Tribolium castaneum: one gene and its partners. The protein of the gene in region 7 purifies or fractionates together with the protein of the main gene of each other region. This does not show direct contact. Links are inferred from orthologs where the notes say so. Each region holds a gene or a part of one and is shown on either strand. Other genes may lie near its edges. The genes, in order: noi, SmD2, Prp19, Prp5, SmF, Sf3b3 and U2A.

Region 1 (4,670 bases), on a different chromosome or scaffold from region 7:
AACAATTACGATGGCCTTGTTAAACTTATTAATTCCTTTAGATATTTATATAAGAACAATAAACAAATACTAGTCAAAAAATATATTTAGGGAAAACCGTCCAAATCCAAGCACCTATGAACATGATTTTCCAATGACTGGTAATTATTAAATCCGAACGAGCACTTGGGGCACTGATACCCCTCGGCCCTCGGCGGCTCGTTCCTCGCCCTCAGCCTCTCCACTTCATTCTGCAGTTGTTTGTTCCTCGTTTGCAGATTCTGCAAATCTTCAACAACCTGGTCCTTCTCTTGTTTCATCGCAAGTTTGCTCTTCTTCTCTGCTTCAAAATCGTTCTTATACACTTCGATTTGTTCCTTCAATGCGAACATTTCGTCGTTGGCACTTGTATTTTCTTGAAGTAGTTTACGCAAATCTTCGATTTCTTTAATCTTCTGTTCCCTTTCCTGTTCCAATGCTGTGATTGTCCTTTGGGCAACGCTCAACTGGGCCCGGGATTGGGCATAATCTTCGGCCAAACGCGGGTTGTACTTGTCTTGGAGCTCCTTAAGTTGCGATTTTAGGGTTTTTATCTCATCACTGAGGGTGGATTCGACGAAAGCGGTGCGTTGTTGTTCTTCCTTCAGTTTCAAGATTTCCGTTTCTTTCAGTTTGAGGAGCTGGTCGTAGGTTTGGGCTGCCGTCGATGATTGGACGAGTTTTGCGTTTTCTTTTGTTAAATTATCCAATTTTGATTGGAGGTCGGTGGTTGTTGTCTTCATTGACTGGATTTCGTCAATTAGGTCGCTTTCGCGATTTTTTGCGGCGAGAATATCCAGTTTAAAGTCGTCAATTTGTTGCTGCTTGGTTTGTAATTCCTGTTCAAGGTTCGGTACATTCACCAATTTTTGCGTCAGTCTTTCAATTTCTTCCTGTTTCAGTTCTAAATCCTTCATCATTGCTAATTTCCTTGTGTCAACAACTGAAAAGTTGGGGCCGTTGGTCAAATTTTCCAATTCCTTAAGCTTCAGTTTCAAATTCAAGATTTCTTCTTCATGGAGCTTTTTAAGATTGATGTAAACTTCAACGTCACTAACCAACTTTGCATTTTCTTCTTTATACTTATCTATGCACATTTTGGCATCGTTGAACTTATCTTTGTAGGACTTCATCACATTGGTGACCTCATCCCTGTAGGCCAAAAACCTCGTATACTGCGCCTTCATACTCATGTTATTTTGTGCGATGATATTCTTCAACTTTTCGTTTTCCTTAATCAGTTCTTCCACTTGTTTTTGAATCTCTTCATACGACGAATCCGGCGATATTGCAATACTTGCAACTGAGGGCACAATCGCATCAACAGCTGCTGGTAATTCTGGCAACGGATCAACGGTAATTTGTGATATTTTCATCCTGATTAGATTTTCCATTTCGTGAACCTTATTTGTCCTTATTGGGGGCAAGATTTCGTCCCTTGGAGGGCTGCAAGACAAACTTTCGCTGATGGAATTTGAAGTTTCCAAAACGACAAATGAATCTTCATCATCGGACCCGATTGACGGAACCATGGACTCTGCAGTGTTTTTCACAGCAACGAAGGACTCGTCACGACTCATTTTTGATGACTTTCAAGTTTTAACAACAGCTGCAGTACAACACTACATTTGCGGCGCAAAATAGAATGAATTAGAACATAGAATATGAAAATACCAAACTACTGACACACGATTAAAGACACTGCTACCAACCGGACCAATAAAAAGTCGCCTTAGCCTTAATTTAATTTTTTAAGAATATTAAAGCTCTAAAAATGTTATTGTGGCATAACTATTTACGTAAAATTTCATTTGGGACACAACTGTAGTCGTAAAAAAATTGTAAAGTCAAAGAAAAACCGCTTAGTGATTTTCTAGTGTGACAATAATGGTGCACCTCTCTCTTATTCTACGCTGACATTTTGTCATTTTTTGACAGTCGACATTTGATGGCGTCGGGTAAATAAATAATTTTCGCAATTTTCTAAAAAAAGTCGCAATGGAGACGATTTTGGAGCAACAACGGCGTTATCACGAGGAAAAAGAGCGTCTCATTGACGCAATGGTTAAAGAAATTTTACATAAAAAAACAACGGTAAGTTGTGATTCTCGTGGCGCTTTGCCCCCTGACAGAGTCTTTGTTTTAGTACCGCGAGGCAATAAACTCGGACTATCGCCTTAAATTTCTGCTAGACAAATATATGACCTCCACTGATCGTTTGATTGAGCTGTATGAGGACAAGGACGGGCAAAGAAAAGCGGAAGTCGCTGCCCTTACAGGTCCAAATGAGTTTCAGGAGTTTTACAATCGTCTCAAGCAGATTAAAGATTTTTACAGGAAGCATCCTAATGAGGTATAGTTTTTGAATATTTTGTGTGTTTGTGTAATGATTTTTTTCTCAGATAAGTATTCCAATGTCTGTTGAGTTCGATGAACTAGCCAAAGCGCGTGAAAATCCCACTGAAGAAATGGCAAGTGAGTCTTGCTAGGCTCGTGTGATCACAGTTGTTTAATTACGTTTGTTTTTTCAAGATTTGGTTGAATTTACGGATGAGGAAGGTTATGGGAAATATTTGGATTTGCACGAATGTTACGAGAAATATATCAATTTGAAAGGCATTGAAAAGGTTGATTATATCACATATTTGGGCACTTTTGACCAGCTCTATGACATTCCTAAAGAACGCAAAACTGGAGAATATCGCAAATATTTGCTTTGCTTGATTGAGTATTTAACTTGGTTCGTGCAAAGAGTCAAACCTTTGATGGACATTGATGCTGATTTGCAAAACGAAGTTGATAATGTTATGGTCCAGTGGGAGAATGGGACTGTTCCAGGATGGCCCGTAATTTGGTAAAAAACTAATTTATTTTTACTACTTCATTTACTTTCAGAAAGAGACAGGGTCGGCCTTGGCGAACGTTGGGGCCCATTTAGACTTGTCCGCATTTTCAAGTTGGGAGGAATTGGCTTCTTTAGGTTTGGACAGATTGAAGTCGGCCCTAATGGCTCTTGGTTTAAAATGTGGCGGGTAATTATTTACGTCTTGCCATAAATAAAATTCTAATTATTTATTTAGGACGTTGGAAGAGCGTGCCCAGCGTTTATTTTCAACCAAGGGCAAAGGCTCACTAGATCCGTCTCTAATGACTAAAAACAAATCTGGCAAAGCCAGTAAGGAAAAGGAGCAAATGAGACAAAGAGAACTGGCCTGTCTTGAGGCACAAGTTTATAGGTTGGCCGAGCTGGTCGCCCCTCAACGCGCGGCAACTAAGGAAAATGTCCAGAGAAAACAAGCGCGGACGGATGGTGAAAGAGACGATAGTGAAAATGAGGAGAGTGAGGAGGAAAGTCCCGATGAAGCCGACGATGACGTTCCCTACAACCCCAAAAACTTACCTTTGGGCTGGGATGGAAAAGTATGTGATTTTGAAAGTAAGTTGGTAAAATTGATTGTTTCGTAATTGCAGCCGATTCCATACTGGTTGTACAAACTCCACGGTTTGAATATCAGTTACAACTGCGAAATTTGCGGCAATTACGTCTATAAAGGACCAAAGGCGTTTCAAAGACACTTTGCGGAGTGGAGACACGCTCATGGAATGCGCTGTCTGGGAATCCCCAATACCGCGCATTTTGCCAACGTGACGCAAATTGAGGATGCCCTAGCACGTAAGAAGTTGCAATTTTGGTTTCTTACCTTGTTACGGTTGTTTTCCAGTGTGGGAGAAGCTCAAAGTGCAAAAACAGGCAGAGCGTTGGCAACCTGAAACAGAGGAAGAGTACGAGGATTCGCAAGGGAACGTCGTTAACAGAAAGACTTACGAGGATCTTAAAAGACAAGGTTTATTGTAATTTGTGCTGTATTAACAATAAGTATCAATAAAAAACATAAACAAAACTTTAAATATTGACATTTTATTTTGATGGTCGCCTTGGGAAGGGGAATTTTCGACTGTTCGTTAGCACGAACGTACAAAACTGAGCCCGAAATAGGGATAGAGAGAGTGAAAATTATTCCTGTTACTTAAGAAATTATTCAGTAGTTTCTGCGTAAATAAATAATAATTTAAGTACTCATTTAGCGTGTTTTTAGAGTTCGGTTGAATGCACAGTCGGCTGCAATTTTTCTCACTTACCGAACGATGCGCATTTGTTTGTGCCTGTGATTTGACCAGATTTGACTTTGACACATAAGTGGGTAAATTCATCCAAATAGGTTTGTGATTTTATTCAACCTTTAATCACTAATTCTTTAATCATCAGAGTCTAATTTCTATAATGTGCGAGCTAAAATGGACGTATTAAATGCGGTATACAACTTAAACAATGAAGAAACCCTCAAGTCCAGTTGGTTCGGTGAGGTCTTCTCGAGTTTTTCGACTCAAGAGACGTACCAGGTAAGAAAACTGCGATTTGAATCAGTTTTTGCGTAATCACGGGGTTCCAGTGGGGCTTCCAGCTACTGCCCGTGTTACTGGCAGCGATTTTCGCAACGATAATTTCAGTAACGTATTTTTGCATACGAAAATGCCACCGAAAAGGTACAAATTAGTGTTTAGTTGTCTCGGTTGTAATAATTTGATTTAGCTCTTTTTGCGCGACAATTGAAATCCGAAGAGGCAAGTGCAAGGTTCAGGAAGAGGGATAA
Region 2 (2,866 bases), about 4.7 Mb from region 7:
TCCTTTAATTAACTTAACATTTGACAATGCAAAATAAATGTTTAATTCTGAATTAAATTTTACTTGCGCTTTCTGTAAACTGAACTACATCTAGTTGGCATTCCGATAATTTACAGCAGAGGCTAGTTTATTAAGGCATCATTTTGTGGAGGGTTGAAGCATTTAATCAAAAAATAATTTCTAGACGTTCATGGAGTGCGTACGTCTGAAGACTTTTAGTAAATTTGGCCTCCAACAAATTCAAGTGGACACGCATTACTTGCAGTTGTATTTGTGGCGATTTGTTGCGGATGAAAAGTACGTCACGAATTTGAATTTAGTGAAATTAATTGAATTTTCCAGCTTGGTTCATTTCCTCCTGGATGAGATTTTGGGATCAGCAGTCCACAGGTGCCTGGAACCGATTTTAATGGAACCAAGCGTTGTGGACATCATATGTGAAAGGGGTTAGGTCATGCAGCTTGCATAAGTTACAAATATTTATTATTCTTTTGTATTATCTTGTTTAAATAAAAAGGAGAAATTTTATCACATTTTGTTGTATTATTTTTATAGATAAATGTTAAAAAACCGTTCAATCTTTCATTTGCAACGACATGAATGTGATATTTCCACAGTATCACGTTCGCGGTATCAATCAACCGCAGAACAGAAGGACCACACGAGTGAAGTGATAGGTAAGTGAATTTCCTCAATAAACACTAAACTGAAGATACAAATTTTATTCCTAATTAACCACTAGCCGTAGCTAGGGGGTTCCTTACAACTATAATAACCGCATCGCCTCGCAGAAACATTTTCGAAATGAACCGATCCTTATTTACCGGCTTGGCTTTCTTCTTCCCCTTTCCAGGCCGGGGCAGCTCTGTCCACATTTCCTTCACATTCTCCAACACTATGTTGCAGTGCCGATCGAACGCCTTCACCCGCCCCAGCAATTTCTTGTTGTTTCGGCAGTTTATCAGCACCTGAGTGTTGTTCTTCACCGACTGAGTGAGCACCGAAAGGGGGCCCGTGTTGAACTCTTCCTCCTCGCGAGCCTGAAGCTCCTCGGCCGTCATTTCAGACTTGGGTTTCGTTAAAGCCATTCTGACTCGGTTTTTGCACTTAAAACAACACTTTTTCCGGCACAAAAATAGTTAGGTTAGGAATTTGAGCGTTTTGGATGCGTTTGGGGAATTTTGCAATGCGCATGCGCAAACTGGGTTTAATACTATGGCGGCAGATTCAAACATTTAAAGTGAAGAAAACAAACTTCGAATTAAATCAACAATTATTCTTCTCACATTTAAAGTTACATTAAGATTACTCTTTTGAATAATTAATTAAGAGTTTTAACATACTCAAAAACCACGATCTAAAAACTAATTACAAAATCGAGCAAATAAACCAATTTATAATCCATTGAGATGAAGACGTTAAATATAAGAGCAACAAGCTATTAATGAATCAGATAGGGGAATGCACCGTTTATTATAATTTAACTAGAAAATGTAATAAATATTGCAAATACGAGTATTGCAGTGCATTTTTCCAACGAAGGGAGTTTAATTCCCAGCAATTTGTTAGCCCCAGAATCGAAAATTAAATAATTACGATAAACAATAATCACTCTTTATTTATAGTAAGTATAACAATAAGAGATAACCAGTGCAAGTAATTATTCCAGCAGCGTGTTTATTTAAGTATACAAGCAATGCCAACGCAAATAATAATAGAATAATCATTAAAATGCAGTGAGGAGCCGATAAACCACCCCGTCCCGCTATATAAATTAAATACTTGAAGAAACGCACCAGAAGAAAGCCTCTTGTCCACCCGGTATTAAGTAGTTGCGCCGAAGGTGATGTTTTTGAAATCTCCTCGGTCTGGCTGCTTTATACCGCATGGATGAAAATCACCAAAAAAAGTCTGTTTTCTTGTCACACGTTGTCAGATTTAATAATTCTTAATTCGACTTCCTCATTTGCGGCGTTTCCTGTCGCCGCCCGTCTAAGGTCCCGCATTTGAGGCTTCGTTTTTCATGAGTTCGGTCTTCGTGTGCCTACCTTAATTCAATTAATCAATTGACCAGATGAATGGAATAAAGTTCATATGTTTGACATCGACGATGAACATATTTAAATCTCGTTAGGGGCCACTTCGGACTAAATAGGATAATAGCCGATGCTTACGGCTGCTTGCTGAATGCCTCTTGTGTCGAGATACACGCGCTGTATTCAATGATATTGTTTGTGTTGGGCAATTTTCTATTTTTGACGCAAGTGTTTATAAGAGTGGACTTTTGCTCAGGTAATTTTTGGGGAAATGTAGAGTAGTTCTATGTAGAGGAGTTTGATTTGGAAATGATTTTCCGGGCGTTTATACGCGAAAATTTTCCAAGCACTTGCTATTAGTGTTAATTTTGTAATGTTTTAGAGAGTAAAGGGGTACCAATCATGCAATCAAACCAATCAACGGCGGCATTACTACACATATTTTTCGAATGACATCGAATCTCATCTTTAGTCCTTAGATTTTTTCTTAACAACAGTTCCAATTTCATAAATTTTCTGATAAAAGAAGAGTCCAGGCAGAAGTATATTTTCTGTTACAGTTTTAATAATCTTCGTTCACCCATTAAAAAAAAATCCTATAAATAAATTTACTAAATATCTAAAGTTGATTCATAACTTGACTGTATCTAATTAATGTAAGCTAAAATCGCCCTAAACCACCTAGCAAATGAGTAATGCTCATCCAGCGGGAAATATTATAGGATATTCACACAAAAAAAGTTATAAATAAAAAATTAAAATTAAAAGAAAACAAAAAACTATCAGAAATTTTACAAAAACAAAACATTTTCTTTCCTAGCAAATAAACA
Region 3 (5,015 bases), about 1.2 Mb from region 7:
TTGTGGAGTCGGGCGATGCGGTGATAACAAGGTCCTCGTCAGGGTGGTAGACCACTTTTGTGACTTTTTTAGTGTGGCCTTTGAGAATCGCCACAACTTGTTCCGTGTCTTTGTTGAATACGGTGGCGTTGCGATCATTACCACCGGTCAGAATTTTGCTTGTGTCGGAATTGTGCACGTCAAGGGCCAAAATACCGGGGACGCTCGCCGAATGCAGCCCCTGGAGGCAAAGAAATTACTCTGTAAAGTGTACTCTAGCTCAATAAAAAATGTAATCTGCTAATTTTCGCCCGAACTTGGTGATTTTTCGGTTTGCTTGAACAAACTGAAAATGTGGTTCAAAACCTTAATAAAAGTAAAAAAAGATTAACCAAATTTAGGTCAAAAAATGAGCTGAATTAAAAGTGAATTTTTGGCAGTTTTGGCGAGTTCTAATGAAATGAAGAATTTCCTGGTTCAAGAGCGAACTAAATAAATGGTATCAGGTGTTCATTATTTAAAAAAAACTCGTAGCATGCTCTGACATTTTTACGGATTTCGTAGATCAATTTTTATCATTGTATTGTTGGTTGCCTATCAACCAGGTCATCACAATTCATAGCCAAAGATTGTTAAATAGTGTTCAAAGGCGATGTGTTATGTGTGTTGAACAACAAGGAAGACATTTCCAACAGTTTTTATAAATAATAAATAAATTTTATGATGAAAATCTGTTTTCTTTTAGTTGTCAAAAAGTAAGGTTATGAAAGAACGGATTAATCACAGACATAGTAAACAATTATTTTTTTATTTTCAAAGCACTCTAGAGTTTTTTTTAAATGAACACTTGTTATTGTGTTAATTAATTTGATGATTTTAGCCAATTCTAGCAAAAGTTTGTGCTTACAGCCCGGAAAAAAGTAAAACTAACACAATTTTCGACTTATTTATAATGAGTTTTGACGAATTTCACTCAAACTCAAATATACTAAATAATTAAATAATAATTAATGTCGATTCACTTATGTGACAAGATATTACAAAATAAATTAGTTTCCGAATGGTTTTGAACGAAATTTTGCGGAATATTTGTGGTTTTAAGTGTAAAACGTATTAAAATGATCGCAAATGAAAAATTAATGTAGTTTTCTATATTTAATTTGGCGATTAAAACAAAAATTCAAATGTGCTTGAAAGCATGAATAAAGAAAAAATAAGAATTTTAACAATTTCATTGGTTTCTTGTCTTGTTTTTGGGAACATTTCATTCAAAAATAAGCTGATAATAAGTTTTTGATTTTTAGGTGTTTTGTCAAGATCTCGTAAAATAAAAGAGTCGGCTTTTTATTTTTTTTACGAAATTTGGAAAACAGTTCTGTCTTAAAAGCGTACTAAAATGCTCGTGAACTCGAAAAATAATAAAATCTTAGAATTAATTTGGTGTTTTTTTCATCTACCTTTTTAGAAAAGCCTCAAAAAACAGAAAAATTATTTCTGCATGTTTTTCTCAGTTGGTTTTGCAAAATTTCGCCAAAAAAGCTGAAAATTAAATTCAAAAACGTGCTCTAAAGCTTAAAAAACGTAAAAATTTTGATCAAATTTTGTGGTTTCTTGCGTTTTTTTTTAAAGGGAATTTCGCGAAAGTTAATCAAAGTTAATAAAAACAAAATAATAAGTTTATATTTTTATTGTTGGGAAATAAATAAATTCCTGGCTCAAAAACAAACAAAATCGAAGGGAATGGTCTAAAATAACAACCATCTTGATGTAAAAATAGTGCTTTTTTATTAAGTTTTTGTAATGTTTATAGAAAAAAGCTTAAATTGTTTTCAAAAAAAATTTAAAACACTTGAAAACAACAAAAAAATGTAACATTTTCGCTCTTATCTTAAAAAAAAAATTCGAAATAACTACATTGTCGAATGTTATACGAATTAAATTGCCGGAAAATGGCAAAAATAACAAGATTTCAACGAAATTTTGCTTTTTGACTGCAAAATGTATTACGAAAATAGAAGATTTCCCAAATTAATTTCCTGATTTCTCAGAATAAGTTCGAGATAAACAACCTGAAATGACATCATTTTCGATCACTTTATTGAAATATTTAGATATTTACTTAAAAAAAACAACGCATTTTTGGCTCAATTCAATTAGAATTAGGTTAGAAAGAAATTCTTTTATTTGAACGAACATTTAGTTAAAAAATATCAGTGTTTTGAACACATCCTGTGACTTTTGGCTTATTTTTGATGAAATTTCGCCCAATAACAAGCTAAATCGAGTAAATCCAGCAAAATAACACCAACCTTTACACGTTTTTCCAATTGGTAAATGTGCTAAAACACTCGTAAGAGAGAAAACTAAGTCATTTTCTACCACATTTAGTAATCTTTGCATTTGTCAAGTGAAATTTTTAAAACGACAATTGTGCAAAATGCAAGAGATGTTCGGGGAAATACTGGATGGTATAAATAAAAACATTGAAAATATACCGGATGTGAGGCCAAAGTCTTGAATCCCCTCAACTGCTCCGGCGTGGACACCTCTTCAGGCACCGTCTTGCTCCTCTTCTTCCTCTCCTGCGTCAACACCGTGGCCTTGTCCTGCAGCTTCTCAATCACTTCATCAGTCAGGCCGCATTGCTCTGTCGGCTGGTTGGCGATGCCGCCGGCCTCGGCCGCCACCGCGGGCTGCGGCACCGTGATGATGCCCGCTTGGGGCTTCAGCGTGGCCAGCGCCTCCCTGGCGGCGGTCACCTCCTTGTTGAGGCGCGCGATCACGCGACACGCGGCGTCGTGCTGGTAGAGCGCGTGGCTCAGCTCCTGGCGCGCCGTCTGCAGCTGCTGCCTCTGCGTGAAGCTGTACAGCATCACGGCGTCCCACTCGTCCTGCAGCAGCTTCAGCGTGGCCGGGATGCTGGTGGCGCTCGGCGGCTTCGGCTTGACTATCGGCGGGGCTGTGTGGCGGTTAGAACCGAACAAGTTGGGTTAGGCTACTCACTCTTAATTTCAATGAGCTTGTCCACGGTGAGCTCGTCACCGCTGATGGGGTCCTTGCCGTGCTCCTGGATGTACTTTTCGATGATGCGTTTTTCGAAAATCGCACCCGACGTTGGGGACACGACTGGGTGTTCCGGCACCTCGTTTGAAACTGAAACCGGGCCAAATCGTTACCCAAACTGCGCCAGAAGCTCATTACTGACACTCGAATTAAGTTTTGATTCGTTAAAAAAGCGTACTTTATTCAAAATCGCAACAAAAATTCATACTTACGGGCACAAAACAACGCCATTTTTGCTAACTTAGCTTGATGTGTCGCCAACCGCACAAAGTGAAAAACACTGTGGCCGAGATATCTGTGCAGATGCACTAAAAATGATGATGGCACCATGAACATTACAGTCGACCAGACAATCGTTGCGCGCCTGGAGCTAGCAACATTCTCGTTTCTACAGCCAAGTTCACACCAGGAAAATTATCAAAATAATCGTAAATCATTAGAAAAACATACCCTGATCATTCTAATGTGTTTCTATTACAAATTAAAACTTGACTACATTTTTATTCTTATATTCAAGCAATGCAAATTGTTTTTTTTCACCCCCTTTTTACCGTGCAATGTTCATTATTTTTGTAGGGGAATAAGCCCTTCGATAGGGCCTTCGGCTGTAAAAAAATGTCTCAATTTTGCAAACTGCGTTAAAAAAATTCGTATTTAAAGATTGCTCTAATCAGTCAAATTAATAACTAATTTGTCCAGCAAGAACCACGTGGAGGTTTAGAGCATTCTTGCCAGGAAAAAAGGAAATAAGGATGAGGTAAACAATGATTATTGGAAAATAAAAGGGAATAAAGACATTACTGGTTTGTGTAATAAAAAAAAAGTACACAAAAATCAAAGTTTTTCACTTGGCGTTAAATAAATGTTCTTACCTTTATACTGCATCTGCTACCATTTGTAGCAAAACCTAAAAAATAAATTAAAAACACAACCAACAAAAAAAAATAATTTGTAGGAAAGTTACAAAAAGCGACACTAATAAATATTATACAGAATAAAGGATGCACAATACGGTATAATATATGGCACACAAGCTATTAAATTCAACACATCACAAGATAAAACGCAAAAAAATGCACCTACCTTCATATGGCTTCTGCGTTGGCTACTGTTTGTAGCAAGACATTAAAAAATAAAAACAACACCAATAAAAAATCTTTATTTGCATGAAAGTTACAACAAGCAACATTTGTCAATATTAAACAAAATAAAAAATACACAATACGTTTTAATATGTGGCAATTTAAATTTAAAACTTCAGTAAATAAATACACCTACCTTCATATCGCTTCCACGTTGGCTACCGTTTGTAGCATTAAAAAAATAATAATAATAAAAATGAAACCAAAAAAAAATGTTTGCATTAAATTTAGAGCAAGTGACTTTCATCGATTGAAATTAAAGACAAAATCAAAACGCGACGATAAATTGTTTGAGTGTTTTCTTTTTAGTTACTGAATTTAAAACTCAAACTATGACTTTTCAACACCGTATTAGAGCCGGTGTACACAACATTTTATTTGCAATTAAATTTTAACGAATTATTGGTTTGTGAAATAAATAAATACGACACAACAATAAAATGGACGTACCTGTGTTTCGCTTCCACGTTGGCTACCGTTTGTAGCATAAAAAATAATAATAATAAAAAAGAAACCAAAAAAAAAATGTTTCTTTGCATTAAATTTTGAGCAAGCCACTTTCATTCATTGAAATTAAAGACAAAATTATTACGTGGCAATAAATTGTTTGAGTGTTTGATTTTATTAATAGTTACTGAATTTAAAATGAGTCACTCAAACTGACTTTTCAACACCGTATTTAGAGCCGGTGTATACGACATTGTAATTGCAATTAAATTTTATGAAATTATTGGTTTGTGAAATAAATAAATACGACACAACAATAAAATGGACGTACCTGTGTTTCGCTTCCACGTTGGCTACCGTTTGTAGCAAAAAAAATAATAATAA
Region 4 (4,950 bases), on a different chromosome or scaffold from region 7:
TCCCTTGATAAATTATGTACGCAGAATAACAGTTTTCCAAAACTATATTTTTTAATAAAGTCTGGAGTTAGCAAACGTTATCAACATTTTATCATCGTAAAAAGCACTTGTGCTGCTTTGTATGAGCTTCGAGTGGCTTACCTTGCACGAATTGTGTTATTAAAGTTTGTAGTACAGAAGCTTAATCTCTTGCTGAACATCGTACTTTAATCCGCATTGTGTCGTCTGGCTGGTTATAAAAAAACTCCTCTTAATTAATTTTTTCCCAATAGCAGACTCATCGATTCGTACGATAGTTGTAAGCAAAGTTAGTTTCGGCAAAAGCCGTATTATCGCACCCTAATTAGTTAACTTGGGCATAAAGACGTAACACAATCAAGGGTTGGAGAATCGTACAATCGTCTCCCCTTTTATCTCAGTGTTACGCATGACGAAGCAATAAAATTGAACACGAAACAGGAATTTTAAGACTTTGTTTGCATCAGGAGCTGTATGGATTTTTAATAATGGAACGACGCGCTAATAAATCCGATTATTGGGACGTAAAGGTTTTATTGTTTTAATTCTCATCAAGGGTGCCGATGCGAGACCGGCATCCAAAGCAAAAGCGCGAAAAAACATCATTTCTTAACCAAATAATCAATTACAAAAAGTAAATGTTTGGTCGCTAAATTGTTTGCTCTGTAGTTTCAGCTTGCAATTTTCAGCAGCAATTCTTAGAAATCAGGGAAAGTAGCACCCAATAATAAAACCAGTTTTTGTCGCCTTTTTAATCGCCTTGTGATTGGCCTGTTTTGTAGTTGGGAGCGCATTAGTCCATCAATAACCAATGGCAAACACCTTAATCGTGTTGCAGTTTTTTGTGCCGTAGATAAATTAGTCGGGGACAAATCAGACGATAAACAGGTCCCGCCCATAAAACTAGAATTTCGTCTTCGATGTGTATGAATAATTGTAATGGCCGGCCGACAATGTGATTTAATTTGTGTTTAGAAAAAAAATTCAAAACACAAAATCACAGTTTATCGAAATTTGATCTTACAAAAGGAATGATTATGTAATGTTGACAAATATTAAGACAGAAATAGATGAAAGCTGTTTATTTCAAAAATATTTCCAGCTTCTCTTTGACTAAAAGTCTGGGATTGATAATAGATAAAAATCTATTCTTAAAGAATGTTATTTTCGTAATAATTATTATTAATTATTAATTAATTATTATTGCTTGATTGCCACTTTTTATTTAGTTATTAGTTATTCAGTTTCTTTTCATTTTATATTTTTTAATAATTAATATTAAATTTTAAGATGTTAAGTGGAATATCTGTGACAAAACTTCGCCTCTTCGTCCATTTATTGTCTTTTTTATATTGTTCTTTCTTATAATCCTTCTATAATTTTTTATATGTATTTTTACCAATACTTATTATTTAATATAAAGCATTAATTAAAGGTCAACAAACGGTGTTTCAAATAATTATTAAATAAATTAGTTTTTCCAATTAATTTACCAATTTTCGTCGACTGTTTGAAATATTTTTCCGACAAATTATTATAAATTAATGAATATGTATTTTTATAGTCAACCGAACAATAAATATTCCAAAATATTGCCATAATTGGTTCCGATTATGTTGTATTAAATTTTCTTTCTTTTTCTATTTTGTTTCTTTGTTTTTGTCGATAGACAATTTTTATTTAGTTATTAATTATTCAGTTTCATTTTATTTTATAATTTTTAATAATTAATATTAAATATTAAGTGGAACACCTGTGTCACAACTTCGCCTCTTCATCCGTCTTTTGTGTTCTTTTTTTGTATTGTTCTTTTTTTTATTAAGATATTTTTGTTCCCCCCTATTATTTTTTATATGTATTTTTACCAATGCCTACTATTTAATAAAGAACATTAAAAGTCAACAAACATTGCCTCAGAAAATCATTATTTATCGTCGACTGTTTGAAAAACAATTTTCTTCCACGAATTATTAAAAATTAATTAATAATAATCGACGATTATACTGTACTACACTGGGTGTTAAATAATAAAACAACTTTTGCTTTATTTAGGCAGTAGTAGAAAAAACCTTGCATTCAACTCAAAAACCCTACCTTTGACTCGAATCCCCTCCAACTCCTCCTTGTAGGCCTCCACCTCTTCGTGCGTCATCTTGGCAATTTCGGGCACTTCTACGTAGAAATTCTTCCGAAACGGTAAATATCTAACCATGTTATGATCAATTTTCGCCAATTCCTTCTTCTGCTTATTAACAATACTCGCAGCTGTGTCTTTCAAGTCCTCAATTTCCTCTTCAGAGGAGTACTCCAGACCGTCCTGATTCTGCTCAATCAACTCACCTTTGTTTTTATTAACCTTGGATTTGGCCACCCCTGTTACAATAACTAAGGCACCTTTTTTATTCCCGGACTCGGTTTTGGGCTTTTTCATGTCAAGTTTGTGAGTCTTTCTCACTTCTTCTTGAACTCCTTTCATATACTCGTCTAGAGGATCGACTTCCTCTTCTTCTTCTTCTTCTTCTTTTTTCTCTTCTTTCGCTTCTTGTTTTTCTTCCTGTGGCGGTGCTTCCCCGTTTGTTTCTTCCTCGACTTGATCCTCCTTCGTTTCGCCTTTGTCTTTATCCTCGTCTTCGGAGTCGTTTTCTAGGGACCATTTTTTGGCAGTGGCTTCGTCAGTTGTTGTGGTTGCATTTGGTGCATCTTTCTTCATTTCTTCCTCTTTCTTCTTGCGTTCGGCGCGCCAACGCTCAATGCGTTCGCGGCGTTTTTGCATCTCAAGTTCCAACTTTTTTTGCTCTTCTTCCTTGTCAAGGTTCGCCGGATCAAAAGCCAGACCTGAATCATCCTTCTTCCGGTCTGTGGATCTGGAGCGAGACCTGGACTTGTCCCGACGTCTGGATTTGCCAGAACTGCGCTTCTCCTTACTGTCACCTCTTAGAAATTCCAACTTTAATCCAGGAAAAAGTGAAAATTAAACAAACCTTCGACGGTCTCGGTCTCGACTGTACGAACGCCTGTCACGCTCTCTCCTGTCTCTGGACCTGCTGCGCCTCTCTCGGGACCTACTTCGACGGTGGCGGCTAGACCTGGACCTGTCTTTGCTCCTGGAGCGCGAACGGCGCCGCTTCCGGTCGGGAGAACGGCTCCTGTCGCGTCTTCAAAAGGGGCAAAAGTTTGGTTAGACAATTTGGCCAAAAAAAATTATTATAGCTTCACTTACCCGCCCCGAACCATCGTAAGTCTTTAGTTTTTCTTAAAATTGGACCTAAATCAACTAAAAGTAAGATTTTGTGCCCCAAACATAACCTAATCTTTATTTACACGGTTACAGTTTTCTGTAATCTGACAAAGAAAGTGATCGAAAATCCCCAGATTTGGTGTTTTTTGTGTTTATGCTTGGGGATTTTTCGAGATAGTAGAAATACCAACTGCGACTTTTAGGCAAAAAAATTATTTTAAAATATTGCTATGGGTAACGTGTTTTAAAACTAGGATTTAGATATTAAAAAAAGGCTTAAAATGTTATCAAAAAAAAAGATATGGAAGTTTTTACTTTTTTTCCGTCCCAATTTTCTTTTTTTAGTACAAACTCAACACACAACAAAATAAAACGCAATTAAATTCAATAAAAATAATTTATTTAAACAAAAAAGGGCCTAATCGGCATGCTCATGCTGGGCGTGTGCCTCCGACTCCCTCCAGTTGCTCTGAATGGTCTCAACAATCCACCCCCAGCACTTGGACTTCGTGAAATAATAAGCCCCACACAGAGCAATAAAAACCCAGGAAATGATCAAAAAAATATCAAATTCGCGCGCAGGGACACTGGTGACAGGCCCCTTGAAATCAGCCGAGGTCACAATTGACTTTTCGGCAGCCGCAATCCCCGTATGTTTGGCCAAAAATTTGGAAAAAAGCTCAAGTGTATACTCCGACTCATTAAATTTAGCAACGGGTCTCCCGTTATGAAACAACATTAACGTGGGAACCCCCACAATCCCGTTCTGCGTATTAAACAACCGATAAGCCAGCGCGTTGATAGCCACCATTTTAATATCGGGGAAAGCCCTTGGCAGAGCGTTAAAATGGGGGGCTGCCATGCTGGAAAACGGGCAATATTTCGAGTAGAACAGCACTAGGATGCACCCGGCGGGGGTGTCCCGGCTCGTGATGTTGCTCTGGGTGAAGAGGAGTTTAATGAGCTCGGTGTCGTTGACTAGTTGGACTTCGGGGGCCCCAAAATCGGGCAAACATTGCACGAGTTTGAGGGTTTTGTTGCTGGATGATTCAGTGGTGTTTGTGAGAGTTGCGTTGTGGGTGGAGTTGGTGAAGGAGGTGAGGTTGCTGGAGATGTCTTCCACAACTTCGGGCTCCTGACATAACGTCAAGTGTGAGGTTATGACTAAAAAAAGTGTTACGTAATGGGGTTACATCATCAGGGGGCACTTACTTATCGCGAGGAATGTGAAAAAATGTGCAGAAAAAGCCATTTCGTGTCTTATTTTATCATTTCGAATTATTGATTTGGTTGGGTTAAAACAAGCGATACAGAAATACAGAACGGGCGAATTATGATGGCCGACGTTTCAAATTTCGGCGCAAATTATCTTGAAATCGTAATTATTTTGTAATTACGTGAAATTAATACCAATAACTAAATTAAAATTTAATTTTTTATTAAACTTGCGTTTGTATAGACTTATTAATAAGTTAATTAATAAGTTTTGTATTTCACATCAAGGAGGCTAAACTTTATTTCTGATATAAAAATCACTATTTTACGCATAATTTTACGTTATTCTTTCTAAATCTCTAATTGGTTTTCTTTCTAATAAATTTGTAATCTATTTACAAAGAATTTTAGGTCTTAGATACATTGTTATTTTGTTCAATCCTTTTGTGGGATTTTTTAATTTTTAAAAGGTTTTTGTT
Region 5 (2,970 bases), on a different chromosome or scaffold from region 7:
GGAATTATATAACATGACTATTATAATAATAGGAGTAATATACAACGGCCTCTGAGTTCTGTGACTAATGCAACTGATTCAGTTCTAATTGTGCGCAAACGAGTCGTATTACTATTAACAACTGTAGCAATTGTACTTTTCACTTTTAGTATGAATAAATAATTAATAAATTTTGAATTTTTATATTACTTTTACTTACCGTTCAGTGAACTTTTCTGACTCCTGTGAGTTCGCAGTAAAGCGATGGCAGTCCATTTATCGAACTCGCTGTATACAAAAAGTATGGATAAACTGTTAAATTTATTTGAAATTGAAATTATTTAAGCCAGCGTTGTAATTTTACTGAAAATATTGACCAATAATTTTAGTTTTATATATTTTTTAGGTATTGTGTTGCTATCCACAGTTTTTTTGGCTGATAAAAGGGTTTTTGAATTTTTTCGCTTCGGCCCAAAAAATATTTTTAGTATTTGACTCTTCATTTGATGACACTTAATTTTTTTTTAATTTTTCTTGTGACCAATGTGTGCCAAAGTTATCAAATTAAATTAAATTGATGCTTTTTAAAATATAAAGTATGTTTTGGCTCCCTCTCGGGTAAATGCAAAAGCAGGTGTATGAGAGGTAACTGTAAGTGCAGGGGAACTTTCTTCAGTTGTGCTGCTATCTGTTCGTTTTGCCGTTAACTACAAGGATTTAATTTACATTTTTGGTACTTAATTATCATTTCCTTATTCCATTATAATTATTTATAGAACACTGTATGTATCCCCCACTTTATAGCGTCCTTTAATGTTAAACAAATAAATATATTTTTGTATTTTTTTTCAAAAGCAAGTTCTCTTGTTTATAATCCGTAACAGTTTGTGTATTTTTTTTGTGGTAGACAATCGTAACGTTACATGTAGAAAAAAAAACAAGTACTTTAACACGATTTATTTGGTAAAAAATTAAATCTACAATACTTATTTACGTAAGTATCCGATCGTACATTTAAACTTGAATTTACATTAAATAATTAATCCTTCGTCTCTCCCTCCTCGTCCTCTTCTTCAGCCCCTCTTATGAACAAGACATTGTTACATCTAATTAAAACTTCCCCTAAGTTACCTGTAAAAAAATGTTACACAAGGGGGTCCGCCTCCAAAGCATAGTTACATACCAGTCATATTCCCATCAATAAATTCCTCTGTGTTTGCTAATTGTAAATTCATGTAACCATCAACTGAGACAAGGTAACCTTTATATTCGTGCCCCCACTTCAATTTTACCATCACAGCCTTGCCTGTTAGGCCGTTGAGGAAAGGTTTGGGGTTTATGGGCATTGCGGTCGACATGGTTGTTGTTTTTGTGTGCAAAAAATCGCAAATAAACTAAAAACGTTGACACAACGCTAACCAGCAAAAGTGAGGTTGGAATCGAGCGACAATTGTGTCAATTGTCAAAATTTCCATCCACCATCGACGTATAAAAAGTTGATGGGTGTCTGATTTTTTAGGGCGCATATTGTTTTTTTGTGATTCTTGGACTAAAATTACCGTAATTAAAAAAAACAAGGATTGTGGTCAATTAATGATTTATTGGCGTTAGAATAAATAACTGTGCGGGGGTTGATTGCCGGCTCTCTATTTTACCAAACCGAAAAATCATTGCCAACCCCCCAGTGCGAAAATCCGAAAATAAAAATTTGTGACATGTGTTTTACATAATTTCGTGGAAAAGACTGTGTTAGGGTAAGCCCCCTCTAGTAATAATCCGGCACTGGTGCACAGGCAATCTTAACAAAATCCTCGTACCGCACCATACTGTTGTTATTAACATTTGCCTCTCTGAAAATCCGATCAATTTCCTTGGCCGAAAGACACTCGCCCCAGTTTTGCAACATGTGACGCAGCTGCTTGGCCGGAATCACCCCTTTCCCCTCCGGGTCCCCAGCCTTGAAGGCGTCCACCACCTCCTTGGGCACGTTCTCCACCCGTGAGTGAATATGCATAACCTCCAAGAAGTCAGCAAAGCTCATTTTGCCGTTCTTTTGCTTGAAATAACCCGCAAGCTCTGAGATGGTGGGCGACAGCCCCAGACTCCTCATTATCACTGTGAGTTCGTCCAGGGACTTGATGTGCCCCGAGCGCGCAAACAAGTAGAAACACTCGCGAAATTCTACAAGATTTACGAGTTAGTTTGGGGGGCTATCACGGGGGTACCTACCGTCAATGTCTTGCTCCTTGAAGTAGCGGGCCTGAAACAAGCTTGATTAGGTTTGGGGTGGGTTTAGCGGGTTATTTTTACCATTTTTCTTGTAAATATTTACACGTCAATTGTATTATTATTATCAAGGTGAAACAGGTGAAAGTACAGTTAGCGTCACGAAATTTGGCACAGACTCGTCATTAATGAATTATTTATTTTTATCTCTGATAAAATGATGATTTTATCGCCCAATTGTGCCAGGTAATTGTTTGGGGCCCCGATTAGTGGGAGCCCTTAATCAGGGTTGTAAACCCCCCGAACGAATCGATTTATCGCCTCATTTCTAACGTAATTTATTAATAAATAAAGTTATATAACAAAACAGCTCGTCATTTGCGATAGTCTTATCACTCCACGCTTAGATGTTGTTAAATCCCCGTCCAATTAAAAAAAGGTAACACACTTTGAACTTTGCCTCCTTTCCTCCGACTCTCCTCTAATTCTTCATTCCCGTTCCAGTTGACCCAATAATGCCTTGATTAGTCTTCCAAAAAATGGCTCGTAAAAGCCATGACCCTGTTTCGAGTCAGCTGAGCAACACTCAGATCGTCCTCACTAGTCTGTGTGCGGGCGCCATAGCGGGGGCCCTCGCCAAGACCACGATAGCCCCCTTGGACCGCACAAAAATCAACTTCCAGATCAGGTAAGCCCCCACGTTTGGTACCCCTCTAACTGGCTTCCTGCAGCAACAAACCCTATTCAACTCGCAAGGCGTTCAAG
Region 6 (4,224 bases), on a different chromosome or scaffold from region 7:
GAAACGAATATCCTAATATTAATATTAGCACCTACACGCATAAGTAAGGAAACATTGCTGGTTTAAGAAAGAATCAGAACTGCAGGATTTCAACACCATTTCAGAAAAAAAATTTTTCATCATTTATTAATGTCTAAAGGCAAGTTATGAATCAAGTTTCTTTAAATCAAATAATACTGAAGATACACAATAATATTTACTAAGATAAAAAATCGAAATGATACGGAAGTTGTTTCACAATTAAAAAAAGAGGTTTGTTAAAATAATTTTGAAGCAGATTAGTATGAAATAGTTCTTTTTTAATCTTGAAATTATGTCCCTCCCCACAATATATTATCGTTATAAAGTTAATACTTAAAAAAATATACTTTATTAATTTTTAATTTCAGCAAAAAAATATTTCAGTGTACATCAGGAAAGAAGCAATGCCATTGCCTTAGTCTAAACATCTGAATTATATCAATAATGATTAAACAAATGATAATACTAACCTTGTTTTCACATTTCCTTAAGAGTTTCTTCTTCCCCATATCGTAAAGCCTCAACATCCTGCCAACTCCTGCAAGTAGCAGTCCATTATAAGCACAAAGGGCCATTGGAACTTCATCAACAGGAGTTCTATGAACAAATTCCAACTCCCGACCCATTGGATCCATTTTATAAGTATCCAAAAACCCAGTGTTACAATGCCTTGGATTTAGTTGAAAATCTTTAGAAATGCCAACAATCAAGAACAGAGTTTGTTGTGGCTGATTTTGGAATTTAACCAAAACACTAGACATTGCTGCCTCGTTCTGTTCCAATCGTATACACTTATGCACGATTCCTTGTACCGGATCCATTATTTTAAGCGTCGAAGCCCACATTCCATGCCCGGCTTTAGGCGCCGAAAAAATACTTTCGGGCAAGTCTTCATTCAAAAACGCATCGGCCATTTCTTTAGCCAACTCTTGTTCTTCTTCACCTGCGGCTTCTTTCATTTCTTCGGCCATTTGTAATCTTCGTTGTTTTTTGGTTTCTTCGGTGTAGGCATTGTGCTCGGTTTCAATGATCAGCAAATTATTGCTTTCAGGATGGATTATAAACTTCCTCGGGGTGTATTCAAGCGGAAATGAGACTTGATTAAAAACAGCCCCTAGTTTTTCCAACGCCAAAATACGTAACGTATTTGTGGAGATCGCAACAATGCCTTCTGGACACTGCTCGGAACTGAACCCTGAGGCATATTCCAGACTTTCATACGAGAGTGGAGTCAAATAAAACCGACTTTGGTAGTAATAACTCAACCAAGAACGGCTACTCATTGCCAGAACAGCTTCCGATTGTTGCATTCGTATTCGGAAGAGTTTGACCGGTCTCGAACCCAAATATCTCGTTCTTGTGTCTGACAATTCTCCAGAAACTGGATCTAATACGTTGCGAAGTAAAGCGCCGTTTGTAAGTCCAATGTTCAGATATAAGGTGCTTGTTGTGCTGGCAGCTGCAGCGTTATCCGGTTCACGATCTGTGCAACCCATTTCTACGATACATAAAGACTCGGCACAAACGGGTAATCCTTGGATAGAACGCGGCGCCAAACAATCGCTCGGATCTAGCGAGATAATCCGTACTGTACTATCGGCTAATCCCACGGCAAGGAAGAGGGATAATTGTTCGCCGGGCGCCACGTTTGCTAATGCCATGCAAACGACGTCGGCGTTCATACGTTTTCGTTCTTTGTATTCGTGTAATTGGCCCGTCTGTAAAACACGGAATTACTACTAAAAGATCGCTGAAATTGTGAAAATCTCAAGAAGTGAGTCCGCTTGTGTGATTTTATCAGAAAACTGAACCGAATTGCGAATGGAAATTTGCCAAATGAGGGAAGCGACTCAAGCGAGTTAGTTAATAGTCAGAGTTCTAAAAGTCTGTATTTTCTTGAAGCTCTCCGAGAGCGTATGACGCCCTGCTATTGTCACTCAAAACAGTCGAAATTCTCAAGCTTTTATAAATTTTAGAATCCTAACTTGTAAGCAAAAATATTCTCCACTGAAAGAAAAACAGTATTTTTTACTTTTTAATGCATCTTTTTTCTAAAAAACATTGCAATTTGATTAGATCACAGTTTTCGGTAATTGCAATGATTTTTGCTTATGTTTCAATAGTTTAATAGTTTAGAAAAATGAATGCAATTTGATATTTTTGTTACTTTACGATGTATCAAATGCAGCAATTTATTGTAAACGGAATAAATAAGCGAAAAATTACCGTTATAACACTTATAAAGTTAGAGTAAACTTGCATTAAAGACAATAACGCCTTGAATAAACTGGGATAATAATTTTTGAAGTAAAATATTTACCGGATCCATTTCGAAGTAAGCTAGTTCACCCCCTGACAGTGCAATAACCACTTGTCGTTGATTAATTGCACACTTTACGATTGTTTTCTTCCCTGGAGCTTTCCACTCATTTACACGCTTATCGGAACAAATATGCCGAATACCGCCTGGATACACCTAAAAATAAAAAAATACAATAATAAAAAATCAATTGCAAATTAATATATAGAAATGGGCATTATGAGAAGTACCTGAACTAAGGCATCGTCACTAAGAGCTGAACAGGACAATGTTGGTGTCGTACCCAAAAAGCCACTGTCTGTAACCTCCTCCACAGTTTCACCAATTGACAATACCAAAGTTGCGTTAACGAAAGACACAATAATATAAGCATCATATTCATCTGTAACAAATAAACCCAAAATGATAGTATTTAAACCAAGTATCTTAGATAATACTAAGTTGTCATAAGAAAACTCAGTTATTAACTATAATCACAATGATTCAGTTGAAACACGGACAAAAAATATCATCACTGTTTCGTTAATTGTCCCCCGTTTTTCTTTTCTTCCAACTCACCTTACTCCCGCAGAACGACAAGCAAACCAATCGCCATCTGAAATAAAAAGCAACTGGTGTTGAAAATCGTTCAACCACCAGGCTTTATTAGAAATTCATTCACAATGAATTTCATTTAAAGTAATAAAATAAAATAGGCTTACCGTCACTTCTTCTCTTAACCGTCCAAACGGCGTTGGGATTGCCAGGAAGCTCGGACACGGCCATCTCAGACACTTCGAGACCGTGTCGTAGAACCCGCAATGAGGATCTCGGGCCTCTTCCGCAAAGCATATACAATTGAGGAGTGTCTTCACCTGCCAGATCAGCAACTCGACAAGATAGAATCGGTGAAAGCGATTCCATTTCGTCGACCAAAACCAAGTTACGAAGGGAACGAGGCGCGAAAAAAAAAGTGTCACCTTCTTCTAAGGGCATAGCGGAGCTAAACTCCAACTCATCGTCGTCGTCACCAAGATGGGCGATCTGATACAAGTAGCTGAAAAAATCACCCATGAAAATATTTTGACATTAAAAAACTTAACAAATTATTTGATTTCAAAAAATAAAGAATAAAAAATAGACATAGTACAGAATTACTGTAAATAAAATTAGTTTGCGACGAATTTTCTTTATTACTATTTAGTATTATTAATGACAAAACAAAACTGAAAAAAAAAATGTATCTCCTTGATTCACTCCATAACACCACAGAAATGCGACGGAGGCGACAAGAAGAGGTTAATATTGCATGGAACAAAAACAGACAACCAATTAAATAGATGCCTGAGCAGATCCATGCGTTTTTTATTCTGTCACTTAGGCTATTTTATAATGTTTTAAAATTTTACCCGACTTTGTAAATGAGTGAAACTCTCCCAAAATCGAAACCCTTAATAAGCGCAGCGGAAAATACGAGAGTCTACCAGTCGTTTTTGAACTAATTGACGCTAATAAATAAAATTTGTTACAGTTTCTTGTTTTTAAATAAATTAATACGTCTTTTGTATGTTTATCAATTGTGTAAACGAAGGTTTTATTATGAACAGCCAAATTGTTTTAAACATCTATCCATCTATTAAACTATGCAGTTTTTAAAATAATTTTAAACATTTCATTTTAGAACGTGAGCTTTAAGAGATATTTTTATCTTTATCCTACCCTTTTGTTTTTCAGAATTATTTTATAGACTCCATTTTTTTACGTTGTCAAGAATTTTTTTCAGATTATTTTTTAACATTCTTTCTGTACTTTTCTTTGGATTTTTCTTATAATCTTTTTCTGGTTCTTTTCTAAAGTCTTTTGTTTCTCCGGTTGGTGAAAGTTAAGAAATGCCAGCCACTTAC
Region 7 (3,851 bases):
AGTTGATCCGAATGACCGGCCTGATACAACGGCTTTGATGAGTCTGAGCGATGTTTTCCCGAGCTTGCACGTCCTGGGGACCAATTTGGGGTGCATTTCCAAGGGGGCCAAGTTTGATTTTAATGCGGTTTGAGGTTTTATTGTAATTATTATGAAGAAATAAATTACCAGTTTTTATTTAGTGCTTTATTTAAACTGAAGCATAACACATCATTCATTTAATAACCCAAGTTGTTTTTTACAAAAGCGAAGATACGACTAAAGTCTATTTTGTATTAATCAGCGACTGACTAAACAACTAATCATTTAAAAATTTAATTGAAATCAGGGTCAACTTATAACGTGCAAAATAAAAAAATCTAAATAACAAATTTAGATTCACGCTATTAATGCCAATGTACTTTTTTGTATTTTTCATTTCAACAAAAATAAGTATACCTATTTTTTCTAGTCATTTTTTGTAAAAAACTACAACAAATAAATTATGAAAAATTAAAAAGATAAAATAAGTGACGCGAATTGTTATAGAAATAATTCCAAATCAACTAAAACATTCTGAAATGAAAAAATTTATTTGAACTTTGAAATATTCTAAAACCACTATTACCACACACTTTGAAAAGTATTTCGGTCACTTTAGACACAATTTCCAAGGCGCTCTTAAAATGACACGAGTAGCCACTAAAAAGTATTCGCAAGACGGTTTTGAGATAAAAACAATTTTTTATTTTTTACATGTTTACAGACAAATTTAAAATCCGCAAAATTTAAAAAACTGGTTTATTTCTGTAATTAACATTACTTTTGCTCGCTGTGAAAACTAAAAACTAATTTTCTTCGAAAAATTAGCTGCAAAACAAAATTTGTTGTTAGCTTATTTCGTTCAATTAATTTCTGAAACAGATAAATCTTGCCAGAAAGGCATTGTTTCAGTCGGGAAAGATTGAAATAATACCCAGTTATTGTACGTATTGCTTTATTAGAAAAAATGAAAAATTAATTCCGCTCGCTTCTCAACCTTGTATTTAGTGTAGTACAATACTCTTATCAACCGGAACTTATAAATAAAACTAATTAATTGTACACCTGACTGAAAATTACCTCAAACTTATTCATATTCCATACTTTGTCCATTTTGATATCCTGAAAAAAAATATTACATTTCCCACAATAAATCATAGAAAAAATTAACCGTTCATTTCTTCTTGACCAGGAATTTGACCAGACTGTAAAATCTTCTGTAACCGTTCAACCTCTTCCAAAGAACTGGCCTTATTGATAGCTTCACGAATTTTCGCAATTTCTTCGTCTGTAAGGCCTTGAAAAAATAATTAAATTGAAAAAATAAAACTCACAGAAAATGTAAGACGTACCTTTACTTTTGGCAATACTGTTACCTGTACCTCCGGGAATAAACGTCTTTGCCCTTTTCCCAATTTCTTTCCTAATCTCCTTGCCTTTCTTACTCTTAAACAGAGCCCTCGCCTCTTCCCGTTCCTTAGCTGTGACTTTACGAAAATCGAGCAACCTTAACTGCGGTAACTTATAAATTAGGTATAGCCTGTAATGCTGCTTGGAAGTGATAGGGTTATGTAAAAGACTAACTGTGGTGAGCTTCTCCAAAGTGCACAACGGCTCAATATCACCCAGCTCTTCCAAGTGGTTCCCAGTCAAAATCAGCGTCTCCAAATTAGGAATGTACTCCTCCAAATGCTCCCCAATGCGTCTAAAACCCCAAAACTCAAAAAAAAAAAACGAAAAAACCCCACAACTTACACAATACGGTTATTGTTAAAAAGCAAACATTTCAACCGCTTCAAGTACGGAAAACCATCCAACTTGCGCACATCATTGTCCGAAAAGTCAATTGTGTCGAACTGGTCACCGGTGGCCCCCAGATTTTCCACTTCGGGGATGCGATAACCTAAAAAAAGATGACTTAACCCAACTTTTTTACATTTGGTCCTCACCTCGTAAGTCCAACTCGCGGTCTTTTACCGGATTTATGTATTGCATGGAATTTTGAATCAGCTCGGCTGTTAGCTTCACCATAATTAGGTTTTAGCGAAAAATTACAATTAAACAAACAACGCACAAGCCATCAATTTCACCGACTACCGTTACAGGTTTCTGTAATTGTTACACGAATACCTGTAGAGAGCGCCCCAAACGCAATTTCCCTGAATTTCCAAAAATTTCCAAAATTAAGATGAAGCAATAAATATCAATCATTGGGACCAAATAATTAATAATTTAATTTTTGTATCAAAACATGGAATCTAAATATGAAAAAATACAGGAAAACGTCGTTAATCCGAACCCCTTCTAACCCGAAAAACAAACTTACTTTTAACTGTTAACAGCTGATAATGATAATTTGATAATATACTCCGTATGTTACATTATTGTATTTTGTAATAAAAAGTCCTGCTTCAGTTATTTATTTATTTTAATTAGGTAAGAAAAAATTAATTTCATAATCGGGAAAACCCCAAACAAAAATGGCTCGGATTCAAAGGCTTCACTATATACAAAAACACGTCTGCCAACACTTATTTCAGCGATTTGTGTTGGTCACAAATATGCTAATTCTGGCTAAAAAAAGTTGCTAAACAATAAGAAAAACACAATGAATGTGTGGAATGTACGTTTGAAGTATTATTATCTGTCGGATTCCCCGCATCGTCATTAATTAATCAAAAAATGATTTCGTGAAACGAATCAAGCCATTGTCTTCTTCACTTCCCCTTAGAGCAAAAAACAAGAGCCAAATTATTCATTGACGTCACAAATGTTTATCCAAACCGAACGGGTTTATTTCCATTGAACTTACACCAATTACGCGCCGATGAGTGATAAAACTCGTTCCATTCTTAATCTGGAAGAAAATTTCCTTGTGACTTTTCCGAGCTAATGAGACTTGAAGAATGCGCGTTTCGCGATAAGATTTATTACCACCTGATGATAATTAATTGTGAGCCGAATTGTACTTGAGGGAAAGGTTTCTCACATCACAAATTTCTGAAGGACCCACTTTAAATACGCAATGTGTAATAATTGTATAATGCCACCCACCTGAAAGAATGCAATTGTTGCCTTGTTTACTTATGCTAATTGGAATAAAAGTGCGAGTGTCTTCGGAACAGTACTGCAAATCGCCTAATTTAGCAGCGCTGCATACACAGCGTCTATAAATATCCCACTTTATTAAATAATTATGGAAATGCAGCCTGCGGTCGTTACCGAAAATATGTGAGAAGGCTGCGCTCGCTTCCGGTCGGCAGTCCTTAGGCAAGGACTTCCCCTGAGTTAAATTCCATGTTTACAAAAAGGTGAATCATAATTAGCTGCATTGTCAACTTTCGAGCCGATCGCGCTGATTTGAAATTCGTTTCAAAAAGTATTTAATAAAATAACATCATTAACCCACATTCGTGGACGACAGAATGAAAGAATGTCTAATGATGTGGTATTGCAGAAACACTAGTACTACGGTGAAGAAACGCATTCAAATTAAACGACACTTAGCAACTCTCACAAGTTATACAAAATTTTTGCGAGTCACAATACAATCAGCGCGACCTTAGATTATTCAAATTTGGAGTAACGGAAATATCGTCCAGTGTCAATGTAATTCGTGTTACAACGAACTCTGTGTTACATGCAAATCTCACGAAAAAAACATTTTTATTTTTCCTTATCTCCCAGCTTTGCCTCCAATTACGTGTTTACGGAGAAAATCCCAAGGCCTGGCCACTTTTTCAAATTCTTTCCCCATGTATCACGCAACTTGAGATTTTTCTACCAAGTAAAATTCGGTAACAAATGTTAAATAAATAAGTTTTGGTGAG

What was found.
Region 1: the proteins of U2A (region 7) and noi purify together in Homo sapiens (affinity purification with mass spectrometry; 6 studies listed by BioGRID and IntAct, counting the BioPlex papers as one, with this or other methods). This does not show direct contact. The link is inferred for Tribolium castaneum from reciprocal best matches to the Homo sapiens genes SNRPA1 and SF3A3.
Region 2: the proteins of U2A (region 7) and SmD2 purify together in Homo sapiens (affinity purification with mass spectrometry; 5 studies listed by BioGRID and IntAct, counting the BioPlex papers as one, with this or other methods). This does not show direct contact. The link is inferred for Tribolium castaneum from reciprocal best matches to the Homo sapiens genes SNRPA1 and SNRPD2.
Region 3: the proteins of U2A (region 7) and Prp19 fractionate together in Homo sapiens (co-fractionation; 3 studies listed by BioGRID). This does not show direct contact. The link is inferred for Tribolium castaneum from reciprocal best matches to the Homo sapiens genes SNRPA1 and PRPF19.
Region 4: the proteins of U2A (region 7) and Prp5 purify together in Homo sapiens (affinity purification with mass spectrometry; 3 studies listed by BioGRID and IntAct, counting the BioPlex papers as one, with this or other methods). This does not show direct contact. The link is inferred for Tribolium castaneum from reciprocal best matches to the Homo sapiens genes SNRPA1 and DDX46.
Region 5: the proteins of U2A (region 7) and SmF purify together in Homo sapiens (affinity purification with mass spectrometry; 3 studies listed by BioGRID and IntAct, counting the BioPlex papers as one, with this or other methods). This does not show direct contact. The link is inferred for Tribolium castaneum from reciprocal best matches to the Homo sapiens genes SNRPA1 and SNRPF.
Region 6: the proteins of U2A (region 7) and Sf3b3 purify together in Homo sapiens (affinity purification with mass spectrometry; 5 studies listed by BioGRID and IntAct, counting the BioPlex papers as one, with this or other methods). This does not show direct contact. The link is inferred for Tribolium castaneum from reciprocal best matches to the Homo sapiens genes SNRPA1 and SF3B3.

The regions. Positions count from the first base shown.
Region 1 is NC_087397.1:5,205,977-5,210,646, reverse strand, and holds noi (splicing factor 3A subunit 3), read left to right. Parts: upstream 1-1,873; 5' UTR 1,874-2,016; coding exon 2,017-2,112; intron 2,113-2,164; coding exon 2,165-2,371; intron 2,372-2,420; coding exon 2,421-2,493; intron 2,494-2,550; coding exon 2,551-2,864; intron 2,865-2,913; coding exon 2,914-3,050; intron 3,051-3,098; coding exon 3,099-3,438; intron 3,439-3,489; coding exon 3,490-3,691; intron 3,692-3,740; coding exon 3,741-3,874; 3' UTR 3,875-3,927; downstream 3,928-4,670. Other genes in the region: NF-kappa-B essential modulator, read right to left, coding at 87-1,598; neuropathy target esterase sws, read left to right, coding at 4,315-4,419, 4,470-4,563, 4,610-4,670. UniProt on the Homo sapiens protein: Component of the 17S U2 SnRNP complex of the spliceosome, a large ribonucleoprotein complex that removes introns from transcribed pre-mRNAs.
Region 2 is NC_087395.1:17,190,630-17,193,495, forward strand, and holds SmD2 (probable small nuclear ribonucleoprotein Sm D2), read right to left. Parts: upstream 1,189-2,866; 5' UTR 1,089-1,188; coding exon 732-1,088; 3' UTR 708-731; downstream 1-707. Other genes in the region: Vps51 (vacuolar protein sorting-associated protein 51 homolog), read left to right, coding at 185-297, 343-451; serine-rich adhesin for platelets, read right to left, coding at 1,949-2,044. UniProt on the Homo sapiens protein: Plays a role in pre-mRNA splicing as a core component of the spliceosomal U1, U2, U4 and U5 small nuclear ribonucleoproteins (snRNPs), the building blocks of the spliceosome.
Region 3 is NC_087395.1:23,125,780-23,130,794, reverse strand, and holds the start of Prp19 (pre-mRNA-processing factor 19), read right to left. Parts: upstream 3,387-5,015; 5' UTR 3,379-3,386; coding exon 3,255-3,378; intron 3,133-3,254; coding exon 2,983-3,132; intron 2,939-2,982; coding exon 2,475-2,938; intron 221-2,474; coding exon 1-220. UniProt on the Homo sapiens protein: Ubiquitin-protein ligase which is a core component of several complexes mainly involved pre-mRNA splicing and DNA repair. Required for pre-mRNA splicing as component of the spliceosome.
Region 4 is NC_087399.1:718,795-723,744, reverse strand, and holds the start of Prp5 (probable ATP-dependent RNA helicase DDX46), read right to left. Parts: upstream 3,391-4,950; 5' UTR 3,253-3,390; coding exon 3,239-3,252; intron 3,174-3,238; coding exon 3,000-3,173; intron 2,952-2,999; coding exon 2,113-2,951; intron 1-2,112. Other genes in the region: bug (thioredoxin domain-containing protein 15), read right to left, coding at 3,675-4,420, 4,469-4,508. UniProt on the Homo sapiens protein: Component of the 17S U2 SnRNP complex of the spliceosome, a large ribonucleoprotein complex that removes introns from transcribed pre-mRNAs.
Region 5 is NC_087398.1:3,705,930-3,708,899, forward strand, and holds SmF (small nuclear ribonucleoprotein F), read right to left. Parts: upstream 1,454-2,970; 5' UTR 1,338-1,453; coding exon 1,163-1,337; intron 1,111-1,162; coding exon 1,019-1,110; 3' UTR 922-1,018; downstream 1-921. Other genes in the region: calmodulin-like protein 4, read right to left, coding at 1,745-2,160, 2,209-2,239, 2,290-2,292; mitochondrial coenzyme A transporter SLC25A42, read left to right, coding at 2,745-2,893, 2,937-2,970. UniProt on the Homo sapiens protein: Plays a role in pre-mRNA splicing as a core component of the spliceosomal U1, U2, U4 and U5 small nuclear ribonucleoproteins (snRNPs), the building blocks of the spliceosome.
Region 6 is NC_087394.1:10,462,869-10,467,092, forward strand, and holds part of Sf3b3 (splicing factor 3B subunit 3), read right to left. Parts: intron 3,378-4,224; coding exon 3,043-3,377; intron 2,982-3,042; coding exon of another isoform or gene 2,900-2,981; intron 2,724-2,899; coding exon 2,572-2,723; intron 2,498-2,571; coding exon 2,342-2,497; intron 1,740-2,341; coding exon 492-1,739; intron 1-491. UniProt on the Homo sapiens protein: Component of the 17S U2 SnRNP complex of the spliceosome, a large ribonucleoprotein complex that removes introns from transcribed pre-mRNAs.
Region 7 is NC_087395.1:21,924,592-21,928,442, reverse strand, and holds U2A (U2 small nuclear ribonucleoprotein A'), read right to left. Parts: upstream 2,139-3,851; 5' UTR 2,053-2,138; coding exon 1,971-2,052; intron 1,925-1,970; coding exon 1,777-1,924; intron 1,727-1,776; coding exon 1,374-1,726; intron 1,319-1,373; coding exon 1,193-1,318; intron 1,144-1,192; coding exon 1,109-1,143; 3' UTR 1,007-1,108; downstream 1-1,006. Other genes in the region: serine/threonine-protein kinase Nek8, read left to right, coding at 1-133. UniProt on the Homo sapiens protein: Involved in pre-mRNA splicing as component of the spliceosome. Associated with sn-RNP U2, where it contributes to the binding of stem loop IV of U2 snRNA.